2 linked regions of the Alligator mississippiensis genome follow. The protein of the gene in region 1 purifies or fractionates together with the protein of each later gene. This does not show direct contact. Links are inferred from orthologs where the notes say so. Each region holds a gene or a part of one and is shown in the gene's direction. Other genes may lie near its edges.

Region 1 (9,779 bases):
AGTAGGACTGCCTGAATCTCCAGATCTTTCTCCAAATCTCTTCTGAGCTGATTCAGAGGCTTCCAATCAATTCAAACCTTTTTATCGGTCTCCCGATTTTTGAGTCAGAGATTCAGCCACCCAATCAGGCTGAATCTCCTTTAAATCAAATCAGCAACCGAAGCTTTGCACAGTCCTATTGGTCACCCCTGAGCTAAACTGGTCTCACTGGAGGCAGATGACAGAATGAAGAGCAATGGTCTCAAGTTGCAGCGAGGAAAGTTTAGGGTAGATATTAGGAAAAACTTTCTCATGAAGAGGATAGTAAAGCACTAGAACAGGTTACCCAGAGAGGTGGTGGAATCTTTCTTGGAGGTTTTTTAGACTCAGGTAGACAAAGCCTTGACTGGGATGACAGTTGGGAATCATCCTGCTTTGAGCAGAGTGTTGGACTAGATGACCACTTGACGTCCTTTCTGACCCTAATTTTACATGATTCTGAGATGCTTTATGTTGTAGGCAAGGCCTTAAATGTAGACACAGTTGTAGGCAAGGCCTTAGTCTGACAACATTTAAGTGTTAGTAAAGCATTGCAAAAAATATTTGCTACCTCTTGTCTCATGATAAGGAAATGGGGTGAATAAAATCCTGAGAGATCTTCCATAGGTGTAAATTGAGCTGTTTGTTGCTGGTATTTTTTTTAATGGCTATTTTGAACTCCGGAATCAAATCTAACAGGAAAAGGGCTTGGCCCTCTGTAATGTAAACCTTTTGTTTACACTAAAAAGTTTGGCTAAGTTAATTATGAAACTAGGTAAAATGGATGTAGTTGTTCCAGTATATAGTTATATCTGTATTCTTTACTTGAAATGAACAGTGATTAATAAATTACCATTATAATGACTCACTGTAATACTTATGGATCCAAAGTCAGTTAGATTGGTATTAAGCACCTTTCTATACTAGTCTAGTTGCATCTATGCAAGGGCTCTCACTAAGTGTTTGGCTTATTACATGCCTAAGCAAAACAGCTGCAGTGATAGGGGAACTTAAATGTAGATCAATCTGAAGATAACAGCCCAGCTTTATAGTACAAAGTTTTGCTAGTAGTTTTGTTGGGTGGGAGTGTGATTGGGTTTCTCACTTTCTCACATGGACTTTCTTTATATTTACCTTGCTGTGCTACCAGAAATTCTGGCACTAGACAGCAGCTGTTATCACCTAGCTGCCAGAGCATATGTGCATCCCAGTGCTTGGGAGGGTTCCACAGCAGCAAATATATCAGCAGGATAGAGTGCAGCCTGGAAAGGTACTGACTGCTGAAGGGACTACCAAAGCCAGTAGTAGGTGCAGGAGTGTCTACATTTACCTTCTGCCAGCTTCTCAGTGATGGCAGAATCCTTCTTTCACAGGGCAAAGGTGATGTAATTCTGTTGGCAGAGAAGCCTTCAAAGTTTCCCACCAGAGTTCTGGTGACTGAACAGTATTGTATAGACTAGGCCTTGGCTATACTGGCAACACCCCTTCCCCACCTGCCTTAGAAAGACCGAACATGCAGTGTCAAAAAAATCTTTTTGTTGGTAACACCATAAACAACAAAAGGGATATTTTAATGGTGGTGACAGAATACCTTCTGTCAGCATAAGTTGTGTCTCAGCTCAGGAGTTTTGCTATGATGACTGCCAAGGTAGCTACCCTGGTGGTACCTTTTGGTTTAGATTAGCCCTTAGATTAATATCTGGTTTAGATTTTGTGATGTAGCTATGTGAGCTTAAAAAACTTAGTTCTAAGAGTTGTGAACAACCTATATTCATTCATCTTGGCAGGGTGTTAATGTGGATGCCAATGATGAAATGTCATGCAAATGTGGCTGTTGTCAGTTATTTTACTGTTGATCAAAACTGGTAAGAAAGGAGTGGGGAGATTAAATTACACTTCTTGTACTTTTTCTTAAATCTCACTTGTGGAACCAAGAAGCCAGAGGGGAAGATGAGTACCTCCTATTCCCAGGATGCTACCTTTTTAGGGAAATATATTAATGAGATGCAACAGGCAAGGAATGTAAAAAGCAATAAAAAGGAAATTCTCAATTTGGAGAATGGGACTGAGTGCAAGTTTAGCAAATTTTGCAGATGAAACCAAGTTGGGTGGAGCTGCAGATGCACTGGATGGTAGAGCTAGGGTTCAGAATGATCAGGATAAATAGAAGTGGTCCATGATTAATTAAACAAAATTCAATTTAAAGTCTTGCATGTGTGGTGGAATAATTACATGAACAAATATGGACTTGGGGAATATATGGGAGAAGGACCTTGGGGGTGGGAGTTGCAATAAACCGTAAATTGTGAATGAATGTGATCTCTCTGCAAAAAAGCCAACAATATACTGGGTTGTATTGACAGGAGTGTTTCTTGCAAATTCAGGGAAGAGATTGTTCCACTACATTCAGCACTGGTGAGGCTTCATCTGGCATATTGTGTCCAGTTCTTGGTCCCACACTTCCAAGACAGAAGTGGACAGATTGGAAAGTCCAGCAGAGAGCAACAAAAATTATTAGAGGCCTGAAAAACATGACTTATGAGAAAAGGCTGAAAAAACTAGGATTGTTTAGACTAGATAAGAGCTGGGGGGGGATTTGTTTAGTAGTCAAGTATCCAGAAGGCTTTCTGAAAGTTCCAGTATACCTCACTCCAGCATTGCACTGTGCAGGTTGTGTTGGTAAAAAGGCACAAGTTTGTTTTGTCCAGGTGATCATCAGAAGTTAGGTAGGAGTACGATTTAATGACAGAAAAGCGAGAGTATAATGTTGGGTAGCATTATGCACGTTAGGCTAAGTGGGTTTATGTACATTAGGGTAAATCTTAACAGATGTAGTGTTCTTTCTGTGGAGTAGGCTAACTTTCAGTTCCTTAAGGCAGTGTTTCTCAACCTTTTGAGTAGCAACTACCCCTTAACTTCTGAAAGTTCTTAAATAAGTATTCCAACACTCAATTTTCCAGGGGATTTTATATTTACAGACTAATGTGTGCCATATGTTGGAAGAAGGGCTGTGATATGACAGATGTCTGATCTGGTGTGGGTAGGGTTGCCACCTTTTACACCAGGGTTGCACAACTTAAGTATGTACCTGGGCTAGAGGTGATGTTGGCCAAAGCTAGGAGGGCTGAGCCCAGTGCCACGCAAAGTGCGACACACCAAATTATTACTAGGGAATTTAAAGCGCCACACAATGTGCGGCACACCAAATTTTTTGCCATACTTCTGAGAGGAAAAGAGGGTGAGAGACTGACAAGGAGGCAGCTGCTGCCAGCCATGGAGCCCAGGCTGTTCCAAACAGGCAGCTGGGAGGCTGCAAGTCCTGTTGCAAGCACCCTGGGCTCTGTGGCTGGCAGCAGCTACCCTGAGCCTGGGCTGGCTGCAGCCAGGAGGCTGCAAAGAGCTGCTCTGGGCTTCACCATTGTGTGCCTTGGAGCAGAGCAGCCGGTGGGGGGGCCCTGAGGCAGCGCAGAGAAAAGCTCAGTGCCACCCCTGACCCCTGCCTGTAGCCAGCCTGGGCTCTGGGCAGCCGCAGTGGGCAGGCTGCAAACAGCTGCACCGGGCTCTGCAGCCCTGGCATCTGCTCCATTCCAGTGACTGTGTGTGTGCCTCAGAACAGAGACTTGGGGATAGGGTCTGAGGCAGTGCAACCCTCCCCTGCTGTCTGCTCTGAGGTGCAGAGCCCGGTGCAGCTGCTTGCTGCAGCTGCCGAGCCCAGGCTGGCTACAGGCTGAAGTCGATGGTGGCACTAGGCTTTCCCGGTGTTCAGTGATGACACTGGAGGGCAGTTTGGGGAGGGCTACAGTGAATTTTGGGAGGGGGGCTGCTGCCACCCCATCACCGCAGCCCGCCCTGAGTGCCGGGAAGAGCCCGGTGCCGCCACTAGCCCCAGCCTACAGTGGCAGCCTGCTCCCTCCTGCGCAGAGTGAACTGGGCCCCAGGCAGGCCAGGTCATGGGGCAGTTCCCACAGTGCAGGAGAGTGGGGAAGTGCCTTGCCCCTACTGTACTCCCCCCTGCATTGTGTGGGTTTGCCCCCCCCCCAAGCCCAGACAGGATAAAGAAACTTACCTGCCTGTGGCTGAGTCAGTGGGGAGTGCGTGGGTATGTGTGTGCCTGTGGCCGGCTTGGGGAGGTGGGGGCAGCAAGCAGCTGGACGCGAACCCAGTGGCAGCGGAGGGAGTGGTGGCGCCCCCTTACTACAGGGGTTTTGGTGCCTGTGTACCCCCTGCCTGTGCCTTGTGTATCCCCAGAGGTACATGTACCACAGGCTGAGAAACTATGCCTTTAAGGCAGGCAAAATCTCCAAGTAGTAGCAAATAAGAGTGGGCTGAGTTGACACTTGAGCAGAACTTGCATACAGAGCAGAGATGCTCGCATTGAGCTAAATGGGCCACTTCACAAAAAGGGATGTTCTGTACTGACTAAATCCATGCATATGAATACAGGTTGAAACAACAGTTGTGAAATGTGTGAAGTGCTCCATTCATCTCAGTGGGTGTTTTCACCCATCTCCCTCCAGTGAGTGCTTCAGAACCTAAGTTTAGCAAAAATGTTTGTCTTCCTCATGCTTTCAGCTTCCTCCTCAGAAGTGTTTTTCAGATGTCGGCTCACTGGGGAGGCATGGATGAGACCTGAACCACACCAGAGTAGCATGATTTATCCAAATGCTGGTTCATATAGAGCAAAGGGTGCAGACCCCTTCAAGTGCCAGCCTCCTCTCACTCTGCTGTGTGCTGAAATGAGTGGGGCTAACCACTCCCCATGGACAGCCCTGTAGATAATATGTAGGGGAGACTGGGAAAGTATTTTATCTTAGGGCCAGAAGTCCCATGTGGCTACCAGGTACTAGTGTTACAACACTCCCTACTCCAATGTCCCCTCAGGTACTACTCCCTCTGGCCTATGACTTCCAAAAGCTTGCTCCTTCCCTATCACTCATCCCCATGTATCCTTTTCGTAACCCCCCTCTGCCTTTTAACATCATCTCCTAAACTAGAGGTTGGCAACATTTTTGGGCAGAGTGCCAAAGACACCAGCAACCTGTAAGATGTTGGCAAGCAGGGATGGACAGCCGGGGAGCTGCAGCGGGCCCAATCTTTGTTGTGGCAGCTCAGCCCTGACATCTTCCCTGCTGTCTGCCCCAAACTGCATGTGCAGACTGGGCCAGGTCTCTCTGGATGCCAGTGCAGCTGTGTGCAGCCTCCCGGCTGCCTGCCAAGCTAGTCCCAGGCTCTGGGCAGGCCTCTGCCACGGGGCTGCTTGCAGCAGGCAGTGGACAAGCTGCAAGCAGATGTGCTGGGGTCTGCAGAGCCCCGGCCCAGCTTGTTGCTGGCAGCGGGTGCTCGAGGCCTTGAGGCAGAGGGTGGGCAAGGGGCCGGGGCCCTCGCAGCTCCCCTGCCTGTGCCCCAGGTGCGTGGGCCGAGCAGCGTGGCTGTGTGCGTCGTGCTGGGGCTTACCTACCCATGTCCTAACCCCCCTCTTCTCCCAGGGCACAAGCCAGGGTGCCAGACCGATTTTCTCTCGCAGCGGTGTGGGTGGGGCCGAGCGTGGCGCCGTGAGAATCGTCTCAGAATAATTAAAAAAAAAAAGGGCAGCTGGAAGGCAGCTGCGGCACGTGCGCCCTGCGCTGCCTTTCTACGGGGCTCCCTGTGTCTCGGGTTCCGGTGGCCGCGACGTAGACGCAGGCCGGGCTTAGTCCCGGGAGCCCCCGCCCCGGGAGAGGCCGCGCGGACGCCCCGGGGCCGCCCGAGCGCGGGGCTGATGCACGTAGCCACCGGCGGGGGCCTGGCGGCGGGAGGACAGGGGGCAGGAAGTGCCAGGCGCCTGCGCCGAGGGTCGCGCGGGGGCGGGGCCCGGCGCCGCTCTCGCGAGACCTCCGGGCTATAAGTGCGGGGCGGCGCGCAAGCTTCCCCCCTCAGTGCGATTCCGTCCGGGGCGCAGCGCCGCCGCCGTTGCCGCCGCCGAAAAGATGGAGGACAGCGCCATGGACGTGGAGAGCATGGGCCCGCTGCGCCCGCAGACCTTCCTCTTCGGTAACGCGCGGGCGGGCCGGGCCGATGGGCCCTGCGGCTGCTTCCCGCGCGGTCGGGCCCGGCGGCGGCTGCATCCGCGCGGCTGGGCCGGGGGCGGGGCGGGCGCGGCGGGCTCGTGCGGCAGGCGCCGCCCCCTCCCCCCCGCACGTGGCGGCCGCGAGCACGTGGCGGCGCCGGGGCCTGCAGCCCCTGCCGGGCCCGGCCGCGCTTTGTGCCGCGAGGGCGGCGGCTCCTGCCCGAGCGCACGTGGCGGCGGCAGGCGGGGCTGGCATCGCCGCAGGCTCCGGGGACGGGGGCCGTGGTGCTACCGCGGCTGCGGGCGGTTCTTTGGCGCGGGAAAGCCCCGCGAAGCGCGTGGCCTGCAGAGGCGGCGCCGCTGGGCTGGGCCGGGCCGGGCCGGGTCTCGAGCCCCGCGCGGGGAAGGGGTGAGCTCGTGGTCCCAGACGAGCTTGTGACGTCTTCTTCTCTCCTACCCCCAGGCTGCGAGCTGAAGGCGGACAAGGACTTCCACTTCAAAGTGAACGACGAAGAGAACGAACACCAGCTGTCGCTGAGGACGGTAGGGCTGGGCTGGGCGGGAGGGCCTGAGGGGAGGGTTTTTGCTGCAGGATCTGGGGACCACAGCCCAGTTCTTGAAGCCAGCAACAATTCTCCATAGCTTGTTGCTGGACTTTGCTGATGGGTGCCCAGATGTGAACAAGTTTGCACTGGCTGCTTCACAAGCTTGGGTTTGCCCCAGTTGGTTGCCCAGAATTAGGTCTTCATTGGGGCTTTTTGGGGTCAGTGGCCTCATTTCAGTGGATGGTTGTTGGAAATCGGGGAAATACTGAAATGGGAACACTGTTATAGCCACGATGGTGCAAGAGCTGTAGGAGTAAGGCTTTTCTGTGATGCTTTTTTCTGGACCCAAATATACATTTGGGAGAGCTGTTGTGTAAGCTTGGGCATCAGGTGCCCTTTAATGCCCACTCCTGCACCTGAAATTTTTTAGCATAGAAGATGAAGAAAGAGGGATAGGGCAGGTCACTTCCTGTCTACTTAGAAAACTGGAATTTGGATTGCAGTGAATAGATAAGTGTTGATGGGGACATGGCTAAAACGGTAAAAAAGCAAAGAAATAAGTACCTCAGGTGGCTGGGAAATGAATGGTGAGAGAGAGAGGCAAGTAGAAAACTTGTAGCAGTCATCCAGTGGCAAGGAGAGAGGTCCTAGAGAAAAAAGTTAATGCATTTAACAAGTGACCATCATTCGGGTCTGTCACTTTTTTCTATATTCAGAAAAATATCAGAAGGGAAGGTTGACATTAAAAAGGAAGAAAAGGGAGCAAGTTGCAAGCTAGTAAAAGTTCTATATTTGCTAGAGTAAAAGGTCAATTTGTGCCAGAGGATCTAGATTGGTGTAGGGGATGCAGGTGGTGGGGGAAAATGGTGTTTAAAAGTGGCTGGGTAATGTGCCAACAGATATTTTGCTGGCTTTGTAATAAAAGTTTCTGAGTCCAATGAATAAACAAAGTGGCAAAAAAGGCTTTTTAGGTCCTTCATGTTGTTCCTGGGTTTACATAGGTCAGTCAAATAGCTTATTCAAAATTTACAGTTATCAGTTCGTGGCTACCAGTTTGCTTTTCAGCTCTCAACAGGAAAATGGAGGTTCTCTGTATTGCATGTTATATGTAACTTGTGGGGGTGCACTGATATTGATTTTGGGGGCCAGTACCAGTAACTGATGGGCATTGGGGAGGGCTATGGTGAAATTTGGGGTGGCTGCAGCCTCCTCCCATGCACGGTGTAGCCCAGCCCCCCTGATGTACCTCTAGTGACTTGCATTACATATATAGTTGTTGTGTTTAATGCGCACATCTATCTACAATACCCCCACGTAAAATGTATACAGCTTGGTCATCCAGAAAACAAATAATAGCTTTAATTAGATCTTGTAACGGATACAAGTGAAGCCATGTGCCAAGTATCCCTGGATACAGATCTTGTCTGGTACTGGCTAGCTGTTCCACCAGCTGAAATACACAGATCTACTCTAGAGAGCAAATGAGGTGAAATGCATGTGTTTTCATTTGTCAACACATCCATGCAGGTACTGTTACATACAGGTAAAGGCAGGATAGTTTTCCTCTGGTATCTAGCTTCTGCTTGCTTTTTTGTAACTATCTGCATTATGTATATCCTTGTTCCTAAAATAGCATCCATCTCCCAACAAATTTACTTGATCTATGACAGGTTTGTCCAACATATGGCCTGTGGGCTGCCATGCAGCCCGCCAAGCCATTTTCTGAAGCCAGAGGTGCTTCGACAGGAAATGAAAGTAAACACTGTTTACTTTTGTTTCTACCCCTTGTCCCTCGCCCAGCCTCTCAGCAGCTTCCTAATGGCTACTGACGGGCTGGGGAAGGGACTGGGTTCCCACATGCCCCACTTCAGCTAGACGTTGCTGATGTGGTGTGGCTCTTCCCCATCCCCCTCATTTCACGGTGTCCCTTCCTAGCCCCTCCCCTCCCTTCCTCATTTGCATGCCAGCCCTGCCCTGTGCTGGTCCCCGCTGGCTGCGCGGGCTGGAGCAGGTTGCTGTGCAGGAGGCGGCTTCACGGGGCGCGGATGCCGGCTTGGAGGGATGCTGTGGCCGGGTCCGCAGGAGATGCTGCTGCCACTGCTGCTGTGGCTGTTCGGGCGGAAAGCTGGCACGGCTCCCACATCCCCCTGCGCCCGCAGGCATTGCGCTGGGGGTCGTGAGTTGCAGGCCCGGGGGAGGGAGGGAGCCCTGCTGGTTGGGCTTGGGCTGCCCCAGGGGAGAGGGAGCAGGGGGGTGTCCCTGCATGTCCCCGTAGAGTCCCCGCATGTTTTCCTGGCTGCTGAGCCCGGGCACGTGGTATGGGAGCATCCTTGAGGCTGCCCAGGTGGCAGGGAGGACATGGGGTCAGGCAGCGCCCCCAGGCCATGGCTGGACTGGACGGGCCACACAAGCATCTGCTTCTGCTGGCCCACTGGCTGATAAAAAGTTCATGTTCTGGCCCCACACTCAAAAGGGTTGGACACCCCTGATCAATGAGATTAGCTTGATCATAGTCACTCTAGATCCAGCGGTGTTTCAGTATGGTGTTTGAGAATGGCTTAGAATCATAGAAAATTAAGATTAGGAGGGACCTCAAGAAGTCAGCTACTTCAACTCCCTGCTCAAAGCAGGACCAATTATCATCCCAGCCAAGGCCTTTGTCTAGCTGGGTCTCAAAAATCTCTAAGGTTGGAGATTGCGCAACCTCTGGGTGACCCGTTTCAGTGCTTTACTACCCTCCTTGTGAGAGTTTCCTTAATATCTAACCTAAACTTCCCTTGCTGTAACTTGAAACCATTGCTCCTTGTTCAGTCATCTGCTACCACACTCAACATTGGGGGTTCAGTAACTCCCAGCTCAGCCGATGCCTAAACTACAGAAGAGTGTCTACAATGCTGTTTGAAGAATAAGTTGCCCTCAGTTGCACCTGTTGCATGTTTTCTAAGGCTGATACTGAGGCTTCCTTTAAGCAGCTTGCTGAGCCTGTAGGGCCATTCTGCAGCACTGACATTTTATTGTTACATAGGGAGCACGAGTGCATAGTTCTGATCACTAGGTTCCAGTGTAGGAACCAGGTACCCAAGTTGTTTACTGGATTTAATTCTAGGTTTTGCAGAATAGGTTGAATAAAACAGCTATTTAATAAGTTTAGGCCTTGTTGAATAAATCTT
Region 2 (10,122 bases), on another chromosome or scaffold:
CTTTCTGGTATGTTTTCACTGCAGAGTTAAGTCACAGCCCATTTTTGCCCTAACTCCCCTCCCATCTGTGCATACAACTCTCTCTCACATATAATGATGTACTTTCAACCTGACTAACTGACCTAGCTGGGGCAGAAGAATAGAAGGTAGGTATTATTTTCACTTGGACTTGTTATTCACCAATCTCACAAGAATGAAGCCTAAACTGCTCAAATGCCACAGCCCTCTAATCCTTCCTGCAATTACCCATCATGTATCCAGAAGGACAAACAAATTCTTAAAATTCACTGGGGAAAAAGAAAAAAAAAACAGTAGAGCTCATCTTACTGAGCTGCACAAGGATATAAACTCAGAAGACCTAGTCAGTCTGCAGTCCCTTACACACATGTGGGCACACCCCCCCCCCACCCATGCGTGTTGCCCAGGGATTTGAGTATTGCATTACCTGCAGGCTAGGTTAACCCACCTACTCTTCAAGGAAACTCTGGAATTAGGAGCAATCTGTATGTCCCAAAGGCATAAAAAATTGTCAGTAAAGCCTGACATGGCCAGGAGAGGAAATAAATGGATTCCTTGGGGAACGAACAACAGTCAATATCACACTTAATGCACGTTATCTCTCAGACAATCAGTCGAAAAGGTAAACGATACCATATGGAGTGGCACACTTTATACTAACTATTCAAAGTTCTTCACTTCCTGTTAGAATAATTATTCAATTAGAATTGCCCATTTCTAACGTGATATTTGAGCTGGAGTTTATTTCTAGTAATTTGGACAAATGTCTCTTTGGCTGGAGATGCTTGGAAATTGCTACAGTCTCAATAGCCAACATCTGTGATCAGGAATTTGAAGTTATAATCCCCATCCCGGCTATGGCACCACTTACAAAACCATGCCCTGTAGCAGCAATGGAGAGTACTCCTTTAGTAATAACTCACATGGAAGTATCATCAATTCTACTCTGTACAACAACTGTGTATTGGAGTCTCTCTCCAGGAGCTGCTAGGTTTGTGAGCTCTTCAGATCTCTAGCCAAAGTTGTGTACCTTAGAGCACTGATTCTCAACCAGGGTGCTGAAGCACTGCAGGGTGCCATGAGATCTTTTTGAGGGTGCCACAGGGTGCCATGCAATATTAGAACTGCTAGGTGTGCAAAAACAACACAAGATTCACAAAATAAATCCAGAGATTTCAAATAGGAATCCAGTATCAAAACCATTCTGACCTGTTGTGGTATTTGAGTTCTTTGCAACAGAAGAATTGCTTTATTATTTCTCCATAGTCAAGAAAACAAATGAAAGCTAAGAGATGGGATTTTCCAAGGGGTGCCCCACTGATGTGGAGCTTAGAAAGTTAGACCCTCTTTTTTTTCTTTTTAACGGAAAATGAGGGGGGTGGGGAAAATAATCATTCCCAAAACTCATTTAGGTGGAAAGAGTTCTCTAAAATAACAAAAGTAGACATTACAGATAAATATTTATTTACCAGACACCAACAAAACTCTCTCAGACAGGTAAGTTCTCAATAATATTACCAAAGCTAACTTTGCTCACTTTTCAGGCAGACTGTTTCTTTTAAATCAATCCTGAGAAGTACCGTCATATTGAGACTTCTCTTCGTACTTGTTTAGTTTACAGATAAGATTCATCCGTTGACAATTCTCACTTCTTCAGTGGAACTCCTGGTGTCACTGCCTTTTTCTCGGTTGTTGCTACTGCAGAGTCCGAGCTGGGAAGGAGGAGAGACTAGGCTTCAGGAATCATTAACTCTTTTGGATATTAGCTGTTTTGGAGGTGTTTTCACTGCAGAGTTAAGGCAGATCCCATTGCTGTCCTCCCATTCGCACATATAACTCGCTCAGAGCTACTGATAAGGCAGAGGTTTTAAGGAATCCAGCTCCAGCCCTAATCATGCTGATTTCTCAAGAGAAGATGCACAGAGGCATTTATTCAGCATTCTATTACTAGCACCTGTGTGCTTCCTTGTAGTACTCCACACTAATTTTCAACCAAGTTTGACACTGCTTAGCTAGCAAAGTCACAGCCAGATCTTGTATGGTCGTAGGTCATAAGATAAATAGGACCTACCTGCCAGCTTGAGCACCTGATGCAAGGATTTTCTGTGGTGACATAACAACAATTGGAGGATAGGTCTCTCTGCGTCCATCCCGGGTACAGTAGTAGTTATCTGCAAATTTGTGACTGGGACCCAAGGGAAGTTGAGGTGGTGGCTGAGTTCTAAGAAGACAGTTTAAAAAACTTCAAAGCATACAAGATATTAAGCAAAAAACAGATTCTTACTATTACTGCATCACTACTAATACTCAGAACTAGAAACCTGACTTTAGAGCACCTTTTAATGAAACTAAAGGCTCACAGAGCACAGCGAGATATTCTGGACTTCTGAAATACAGAGGGGCTCTCAGCACCCATGCTCCAAGGTCTATGGAGTGTGTTAAAAAGATTCAGTATTGCTCAGCTGCAAATTAGTAAAAAAGGATATGTAGAGAGAGCTCGTGGCCTGGCACTGGGCTACACTAACACACCCACAGGAAGAACTAGGATGCTCTAAAGAGACAGAGTTTCTGGTTGTAACTGTGTTGGTCTAAGGACATAGACAGGCAAGGTTCTTTGGGTAGATGTGATTCCTTGTATTAGACCAGCTGAGTAGTTGGAAAAAGTTCTTAGCAAGCTTTTGGGCGCAGTCACCCATCTTCAGGCACAGGAAGTCTCTGCTGTTCTGAGACTCCAATGAGAGAAAAGTGTGGCCGGATTGTCAGTGATAATGTAAATAGGTAGAAAATCGAAAGACAAAAGGTGAAGCAGAGGGTGGGGAAGAGAGCAGGGGGAAAAACGCTAAGGGGAGACATTACAGTGATAGAATACAAGGTAGAAAAGAGGCTAATCAGTTAAAAAGAAAATAGTTGGAGATCAGGAAAACAGGAATGAGACAAACTACAAGTGTGAGAGGATGTAGTGAAAATATAAATAGGGAAGAAGGAGAAACAAGGTAAAGTGGGGGGGAGAGGAGGCAGGGGAAAAACAGGCCAAATGGAAACATTACAGTGGTATTAATACAAGATTCACAGATTGTAAGGCTGGAAGGGACCTCAGATCATTGGGTCCAGCCCCCTGCACCAGGCAGGAAAAGTGACAGGTGGGGTCAGGTGACCCCAGCAAGGTGACTGTTGAGTCTCCTCTTGAAGATATCCAGGGTAGGTGATTGCATGACCTCTAGAGGGAGTTTATTCCAGTCTGGACAGCCTGACTGTGAAGAAGCATTTCACAATCTTGAGCCTGAAATGGTCTTCCAGGAGTTTGTGGCCATTACTCCTGGTTCTCCCCAAGGGCGCCCTGGTGAACAGCTGTTCATTGAGCCCCTGATGTACTCCCCTGACGTAGCATTACACTGCTACCAAGTCCCCTCTCAGCCTTCTCTTTTTCAGGCTGAAGAGTCCCAGGTCCCTCAGCCTTTTTGCGTTCGGCTTGCTGTGCAAGACTCTAATCATACAGGTGGCCCTTCTCTTGACTCTCAAGTTTTACCACGTCCTTGTTCTGCGCCCAGAACTGGATGCAGTACTGCTGCTGCGGTCTCACTGGTGCCGAGTACAGTGGAAGAATCACCTCATTGGTCTTGCTGGAGATTCATCAATCGATGCATGCCAGAGTATTATCTGTCCTGCTGACAACAGAGTTGCACTGCCGCACATTCATACTGTGGTCACTTATAACCCCCAGGTCTCTTTCATCTGTGGTGTTGGTCAGATTGGTGTTTCCAAGCCTGCAGGTGTGCGAGGGATTGTTCGTCCCCTGGTGGAGCACTTTACGTTTCTCAAGGTTGAACTTCATTTAGTTCTGACTTGCCTAACCTGCCAGCCTCTTTAGTTTCATAGTTGGTAGGGTTGGAAGGGACCTGAGCAGATCATCACGTCCGACCCCCTGCCATGGCAGGAAAGAGTACTGGGGTCAAATGACCCCGGTAAGATGTTCATCTAGCCTTCTCTTAAAGACCCCCAGGGTAGGAGCGAGCACCACTTCTCTTGGAAGTTGGTTCCAGGTCCTAGCCGCCCTGACAGTGAAGTAGTGCCTCCTGATGTCTAGTCTGAATCTACCCTCTGCTAGCTTGTGACCATTATTTCTAGTCATGACCATTATTTCTAGTCACTCCTGGTAGTGCTCGGGGGAACAGGGACTCCCTCAACTCCTGCTGGTTACCTCTGACTAGTTTCTAAACGGCCACTAGATCCCCCGTCAGCCTTCTCTTGTGGAGGCTGAACAGGTTCAGGTCCTGTAGCCTCTCTTCATAGGGTCTGCCCTGCTGACCCCTGATCATGCGGGTGGCCCTCCTCTGGACCCTCTCCATGCTGTCCACATCCCTCCTGAAGTGCAGAGCCCAGAACTGGATGCAGTACTCCAACTGTGGCCTGACCAGCATTGCATAGAGGGGGAGGATCACCTCCTTGGACCTGTTTGAGATGCATCTGTGGACGCATGACAAGGAACGGTTGGCCTTCCTGACCGTGTCGCCACACTGTCAGCCCATGTTCATTTTGGCATCAATAATGACTCCAAGATCCTTTCCTGCCTCTGCACTGACGAGAAGGGATTTCCCCAGCCTGTAGGTATGCTGCTGGTTCCCCCCCCCCCCGTGCAGCACCTTGCACTTGTCAGTGTTGAAACCCATCCTGTTCTCGTCCGCCCACCCCTCCCTGTAGCCTGTCTAAGTCCGATTGCAGTCTATTCCTCCCTTCTAGCGTGCCCACTTCCCCCACATCTTAGTGTCATCTGCAAATTTGAACAGGGTGCTTTTTACCCCCTCGTCCAAGTCGCTGAGGAAGATATTGAATAGTGCAGACCTGAGGACCGAGCCCTGGGGGACTCCACTGCCCACATCCCTCCAGGTTGAATAGGACCCATCCACCACCACTCTGGGTGCAGCCCTCCAGCCAGTTAGCGACCCATTTGACTGTGTAGGTGTCGACGCCACAGTCCCCTAGTTTTTAATGAGAATGGGGTGAGAGACAGTGTCAAAGGCCTTCCTAAAGTCCAGAAAGACTACGTCCACTGCTACCCGTGTCTAAGGATTGTGTGACCTGGTCGTAGAAGGCCACCAGGTTGGTCTGACAGGACCTGCCTCGAATGAACCCACTGGCCCTCTTCCAGTCCTCAGGGACCTCTCCGGAGCACCACGAGTTTTGGGACAGTTTCACCAGGCGACGACTTGGGCCAGCTCCTTCCGCACCCGCAGACGGAGTTCATCCGGTCCTGCTCACTTATATATGTCTACTTTTTTTAATTGATCACACATCAGTTCTTCGGCAACAGTAAGAAGGCGGCCACGTCTACCCTGCTCATTCTGTACCCTATCTAGCATGATTTTCCCTGGGGCTTGTTGAAACACAGAGGCAAAGCTATCATTCAGGAGTTCAGTTTTCTCCTGGGTACCGGTACCTAGCTGTCTTGAGTTGCTGCGCAGCGGCCCCACACTCCCATTTGCTCTCTTGTTCCCTGCATACCTAACGTCCCCATGTACCTACCCAATGTCTCCCTTTAGCTGGTTTTCCCTCCTGCTCTCTTCCCCCTCCCCGTCCCCTGTCTGCGTCACCTCTTGTCTTGCTAATTTCCACCAATTTACATCCTCCCTGACATCCTGCCAAGACCTCAGCATCTCTCCTCCCTTGGAGATCTCAGACCAGCAGAGACTCCCGTGCCTGACAGGGCAGCTGCACCCCAAAGCTGGACAAGACCTTGCTACTCAGCTGGGCTGACAAGACATCACATCCGCCCAGAAAACCCGAGACGGGGCTGTCTCGGCTCCGCCCGCGGGCGCTGGGGGTGGCGGCGGGCGGAAGACACCGCCGGCTGCCCCGGCCCGGCCCGGCCCGGCGGGACGCACCTCCTGGAGATCTCCGTGTAGCGGAGGTTGAGCTTGGTCTGCAGGTCCCGCTGCAAAGCAAGGGGACAGCGTCTCAGGCGGGGCCGCGCCCAGACCCCCCCACCCCGGGCCGCCGCCGCTGCCCCGCCCCGCTCACCCCCAACAGCCAGTTGCGGATCCAGCGGATGATGGGGGTGGCGGACACCATCTTGGGCGCGGTGCAGGCTGGGAAGCAGGAGGCCGGCGCGGTGCAGGGCGAGAGGCGCGCGGTGCATGCCGGGCCCGGCCTATATAAGCGCGCGCGGGGAGCGCCCGCCCTCTCCCAATTGCTGCCGCCGCCATCATGGATACGAGTCGCGTGCAGCCCATCAAGCTCGCCCGGGTGCGGGGCCGGCGGGTGCGGGGCCGGGGCGGCCGGGGGGGGGGCACTCACTCACTGACGCGTGTGTGTGTCCGCAGGTGACCAAGGTGCTGGGCCGGACCGGCTCGCAGGGCCAGTGCACGCAGGTGAGCGCCGGGGGTGCCGGCCCGGCGGGGGGAGCAGGGCGGCGGGCGGGCGGGCGGGGGCCTCCGGCCTCCCCGCGCCGCAGGAGCCGCCGCAAGCCCGCCCCGCGCTCGGGGTTTCCCTTCAGGCAGAGCCGCTTTCGGGAAATGCACTTGAATCCCGGCGGCCGGGCTTTTGTTTGAATCGTTATGGCTGGGCCTGAGCGCTGCGTCGTCTCTGCGTGGTTGAGGGACCTCCTTCCTCCGTTCCTGACCTCCTTTCTCTGGAGGGATCCATTGTTTTATTTTACTTTGACTTCCCCGTTCCTTACTTTTTAAGGGGAGGCGCTGAGACTTGACGGCTGGCATTGGGGGCGCACCGACGGGCTTTCTCGGCCAATACCGATAGCCGACGATGATTACCCAGCCACGGCAACTAATGCACTATTTCTAAATATTGGTTATTGGATCAGCAAGACATCTTAAATTTCTGACATAAGCCTCTTATCGTTGGTTTTGTGTTTATAATACACACGCGCACGCCTCCTCTGCTCCAGCCCTCGGCGAGGAAGGCAGTGACCCCTTGCTCCCACGCACGCACGCCGCTGCCTTGCTCGCTCGCTCGCGGCTCCTACGCGCAGCCGCGCTCCCCGCGGTGCTGGTGTCCCTGGCGAGCAGGGCAACCCTCGCGTGGACAGCGGTGCTGGGTGTGTTTGGAGCCCCAGAGCACACGGCTGCCTCGCCACAGCCAGCGGGCCCTGCACAGCCCAGCTGCCACGGCCACCAGGGAGAAGCCACTTTCGCACAGCACCTGGTGCCCAGAGAAGCGAAGTGTCCCTTGCATGGTGCCTTACCCCACCTGTGTGCAATCCAACCCATCTGTGGCCACCCCAGCGCTCGGGCCCCTGCTGTGTGCACAGCAGGACCCAGGAACCGTCCCTTTGGTCACTTTGTTGCTGAGCGTGGGGCTCTGTGACTACTCCCTGACACCCTTCCCCCTCCCACTGCTTGCTGCGGTGGCCTCTGGCGGATGGTGGGGCACAGGGACAGGAGTACACTCATCGGGATGCTCCTGGCCTGCGGCCGTAAATATCAGCTATAATGACCAAAAAAGCCAATAGCCGCTAACATCACTTCTTTTATTGGTGTCGACCCGATAGCCAACCATTGTATCAGTGCACCTCTAGTTGCCATGAATAGCGGGTTTGTTAGGAGTAGGATGTAGTGATCTGGAGCAGCAGTTTCAGAGGGTGAGTGGTATGGTGAAGTACACTTGTTTAGACTTTTCTGTTGGGTCACTGGTAGGTTCGTGTTGAATTTATGGATGACACCAGCCGATCCATTATCCGGAACGTGAAAGGACCCGTCCGCGAGGGGGATGTCCTAACGCTGCTGGAATCCGAACGTGAAGCAAGGAGGTTGCGTTGATCAGCATGGTAACTCATTTATTTCACTTTCAGGTTTTAAAGAGATCTTTTTGCATGATCTTCATTTGAGCCTCTTAAGCACAGAGCTGGGGTATCTGCCTGGACTGTAGAGCAGTGATTCTTAACCAGGGTGCTGTGACATCTTGGGGTGCCATGAGATCCTTTAAAGCAGTGGTTCTCGACCTTTTTTGTACCAGGATCCATTTGTCAATATTGATGGCCAGTCCCAACCCATTGTGTGGGGCATGGTGGGGTGTATGGGGGGGGGGCCCTGAGCATCCCCTTGCAGGTTGAAACACCTGACAGTCTGCAAGGGAAAAGCCAGGGTTTCCCATACTTTTCTTTAAGGGAGAATCCATTTTTTTTTTTTAAGTTCATATATTCGGATGACCCACTTTATTGGATCGCGTCCCATAGGCTGAGGTCCCTAAACACACTGCTTTAAAGGATGCCTCAAGGTGTGAGGACATGAGCAGATAAGCATAGGCTCAGGCTTGTCCCTGTGTGGATCATCCCCTCCTCTTACTGCCTCGTCCTTTCTGCAAGGAAATAAGCACTGTAGCGCATACATTTTAGTTTCTGAAATTGTGCCACCACTCAGTTCACGAAAGTCCAGGGAGGGCTTCCTTGAGACCCGCTGATTTAGAGTGATCTGTGGTTATGTGAGACCCTGACTGAAGGTTAGGGATCTTAACTCTGAATCTGAGTCTTATATGGAAAAACAAGTATAGAATGTAAGGTTTGACATTTAGGCCTTGGCAACTTGGATGAGTGTTCAGCATAGAATTATTTTTGGTAAACTAGCTATTCCTGCATCAGAAAATAAGATTTTAATATTGCCATGACTTTTTCCATGGGCTGACCTACATTACAAATATTTCCTGTTTGGGCTTAGTAGCAAAGAATTAAATTAGCAGTCATGAGAATGACCACGACTCTTTTTCAGAGTATACCAAGTGAAAAGTTTTGGTTTAGTTTGGAAAAGTTTAGCATCTGACTGTCTTAACTGCTGTTTAGACACAGTAATATTGTCTAGTGAGTGAATTTGATGTTTGCCTCTGCATGGCTGAGCACAGTGGTTTAGTTTTGTTTTACACACTTTGCCTAGAGATGCTCTGCAGTCTTTCACTGCTATTTTCAAGGCAAGAGTTTGGGAAACAAAACACAGGTTTTGATTTCAAATCCAATCGTGTCAAGCATTCAGTCCAAGCTGAAATTCAGGTCCAAAGCCATAGTAATTTACATAGTATACAGATGTCTTTGGACTGACTCTTCTAGAAATAACCTTATCTATGTAAAATAGTCTAGTCTTGGGAGGCAGGCCCTGGCCTCTGCTGGTGAGGTGGGGGCCAGTGGGTGGAAGCTGTCCTGCCTACCCAGGGTCTGTGGGACCAAGCTCTATTTCCCCAGTGCTGCCAGGTACACTGGGTGGAAGCAGCACTGCCTCCCTGACCACCCAGCACTGAATGGTGTCCAGCTGGGACCTGCCTCATGGTGCCAGATTGGAGATGGGGCTGCTTCTGCCCAGTGTCCTCCACAGTACCTGGCAGATGCAGTCCAGCCCTGCAGACCCTGGACTCCTGTTGCTGCTCATGTGCCAGCTCTGCTGCGGAAAGTGAGTGCGTGTGGCCCTCAACAACTTGCCAAAACTCATGAAGTGGCCCTCCAGCCCAAATAATTGCCTACCCCTGGGTTAGGCAGTTAGTACTTCTGAAAATGGCTCAGAATATTTCCATTGATAAAGTGCAGCTCATCTTTAGTTGTATATGTGGTCCTGAAGTTTGAGGCTCCACTAGAAACCTATGATGATTATAGGCAAACAGGTAAGGTGCTAATTCCTACTAGTTACACTGCATAAGCTGCAGTATCACCAATAATATTTTCAAGCTCTCTCTCACTGGGTAGGAGTAAAATGACATGCTTTAGTTGCTTTTCTAGTATTTTATTGCCTTGGAAATGGTTTCCTGATGCATATATGAGATTAACTAAAATATGCATGATTTATTTCAGATGACTAATCCTGGTGCATCTACCTTTCATTCTACACGGCTGTAATGAAGTAGCAGTGAACATCTGTGCTGCCAGACGTGCATGAAGAGGGGCATTGCATTTCAGTGACTAAAATAAAGGATTTTTTTTTTCCAGTACCACATTGCCTTTTTCATGTAAGATAAGATGTGTGTACTTCTGCTGGCTTCATTGGCCAGAATAATTCCAGGGAGAAAGCACTGAGCTATTAAGTTCCTTACTTTGATTTAAAAGTTGTTAAAACTGCTTGTAACTGAAGGATTTTGTATCGTTCTGCAAGCAAGTGCATGCCTGTACTTCAGAGAGCT

The links. The genes of interacting proteins can lie anywhere in the genome.
Region 2: the proteins of NPM1 (region 1) and RPS28 purify together in Homo sapiens (affinity purification with mass spectrometry; 3 studies listed by BioGRID and IntAct, with this or other methods). This does not show direct contact. The link is inferred for Alligator mississippiensis from reciprocal best matches to the Homo sapiens genes NPM1 and RPS28.

The regions. Positions count from the first base shown.
Region 1 is NC_081832.1:47,797,412-47,807,190, reverse strand, and holds the start of NPM1 (nucleophosmin), read left to right. Parts: upstream 1-5,924; 5' UTR 5,925-5,984; coding exon 5,985-6,048; intron 6,049-6,527; coding exon 6,528-6,607; intron 6,608-9,779. UniProt on the Homo sapiens protein: Involved in diverse cellular processes such as ribosome biogenesis, centrosome duplication, protein chaperoning, histone assembly, cell proliferation, and regulation of tumor suppressors p53/TP53 and ARF.
Region 2 is NC_081839.1:9,769,254-9,779,375, forward strand, and holds RPS28 (small ribosomal subunit protein eS28), read left to right. Parts: upstream 1-6,156; 5' UTR 6,157-6,219; coding exon 6,220-6,258; intron 6,259-6,335; coding exon 6,336-6,383; intron 6,384-7,664; coding exon 7,665-7,787; 3' UTR 7,788-7,795; intron 7,796-9,796; 3' UTR 9,797-9,933; downstream 9,934-10,122. Other genes in the region: NDUFA7 (NADH dehydrogenase [ubiquinone] 1 alpha subcomplex subunit 7), read right to left, coding at 1,664-1,730, 2,090-2,239, 5,898-5,947, 6,034-6,084. UniProt on the Homo sapiens protein: Component of the small ribosomal subunit. The ribosome is a large ribonucleoprotein complex responsible for the synthesis of proteins in the cell. Part of the small subunit (SSU) processome, first precursor of the small eukaryotic ribosomal subunit.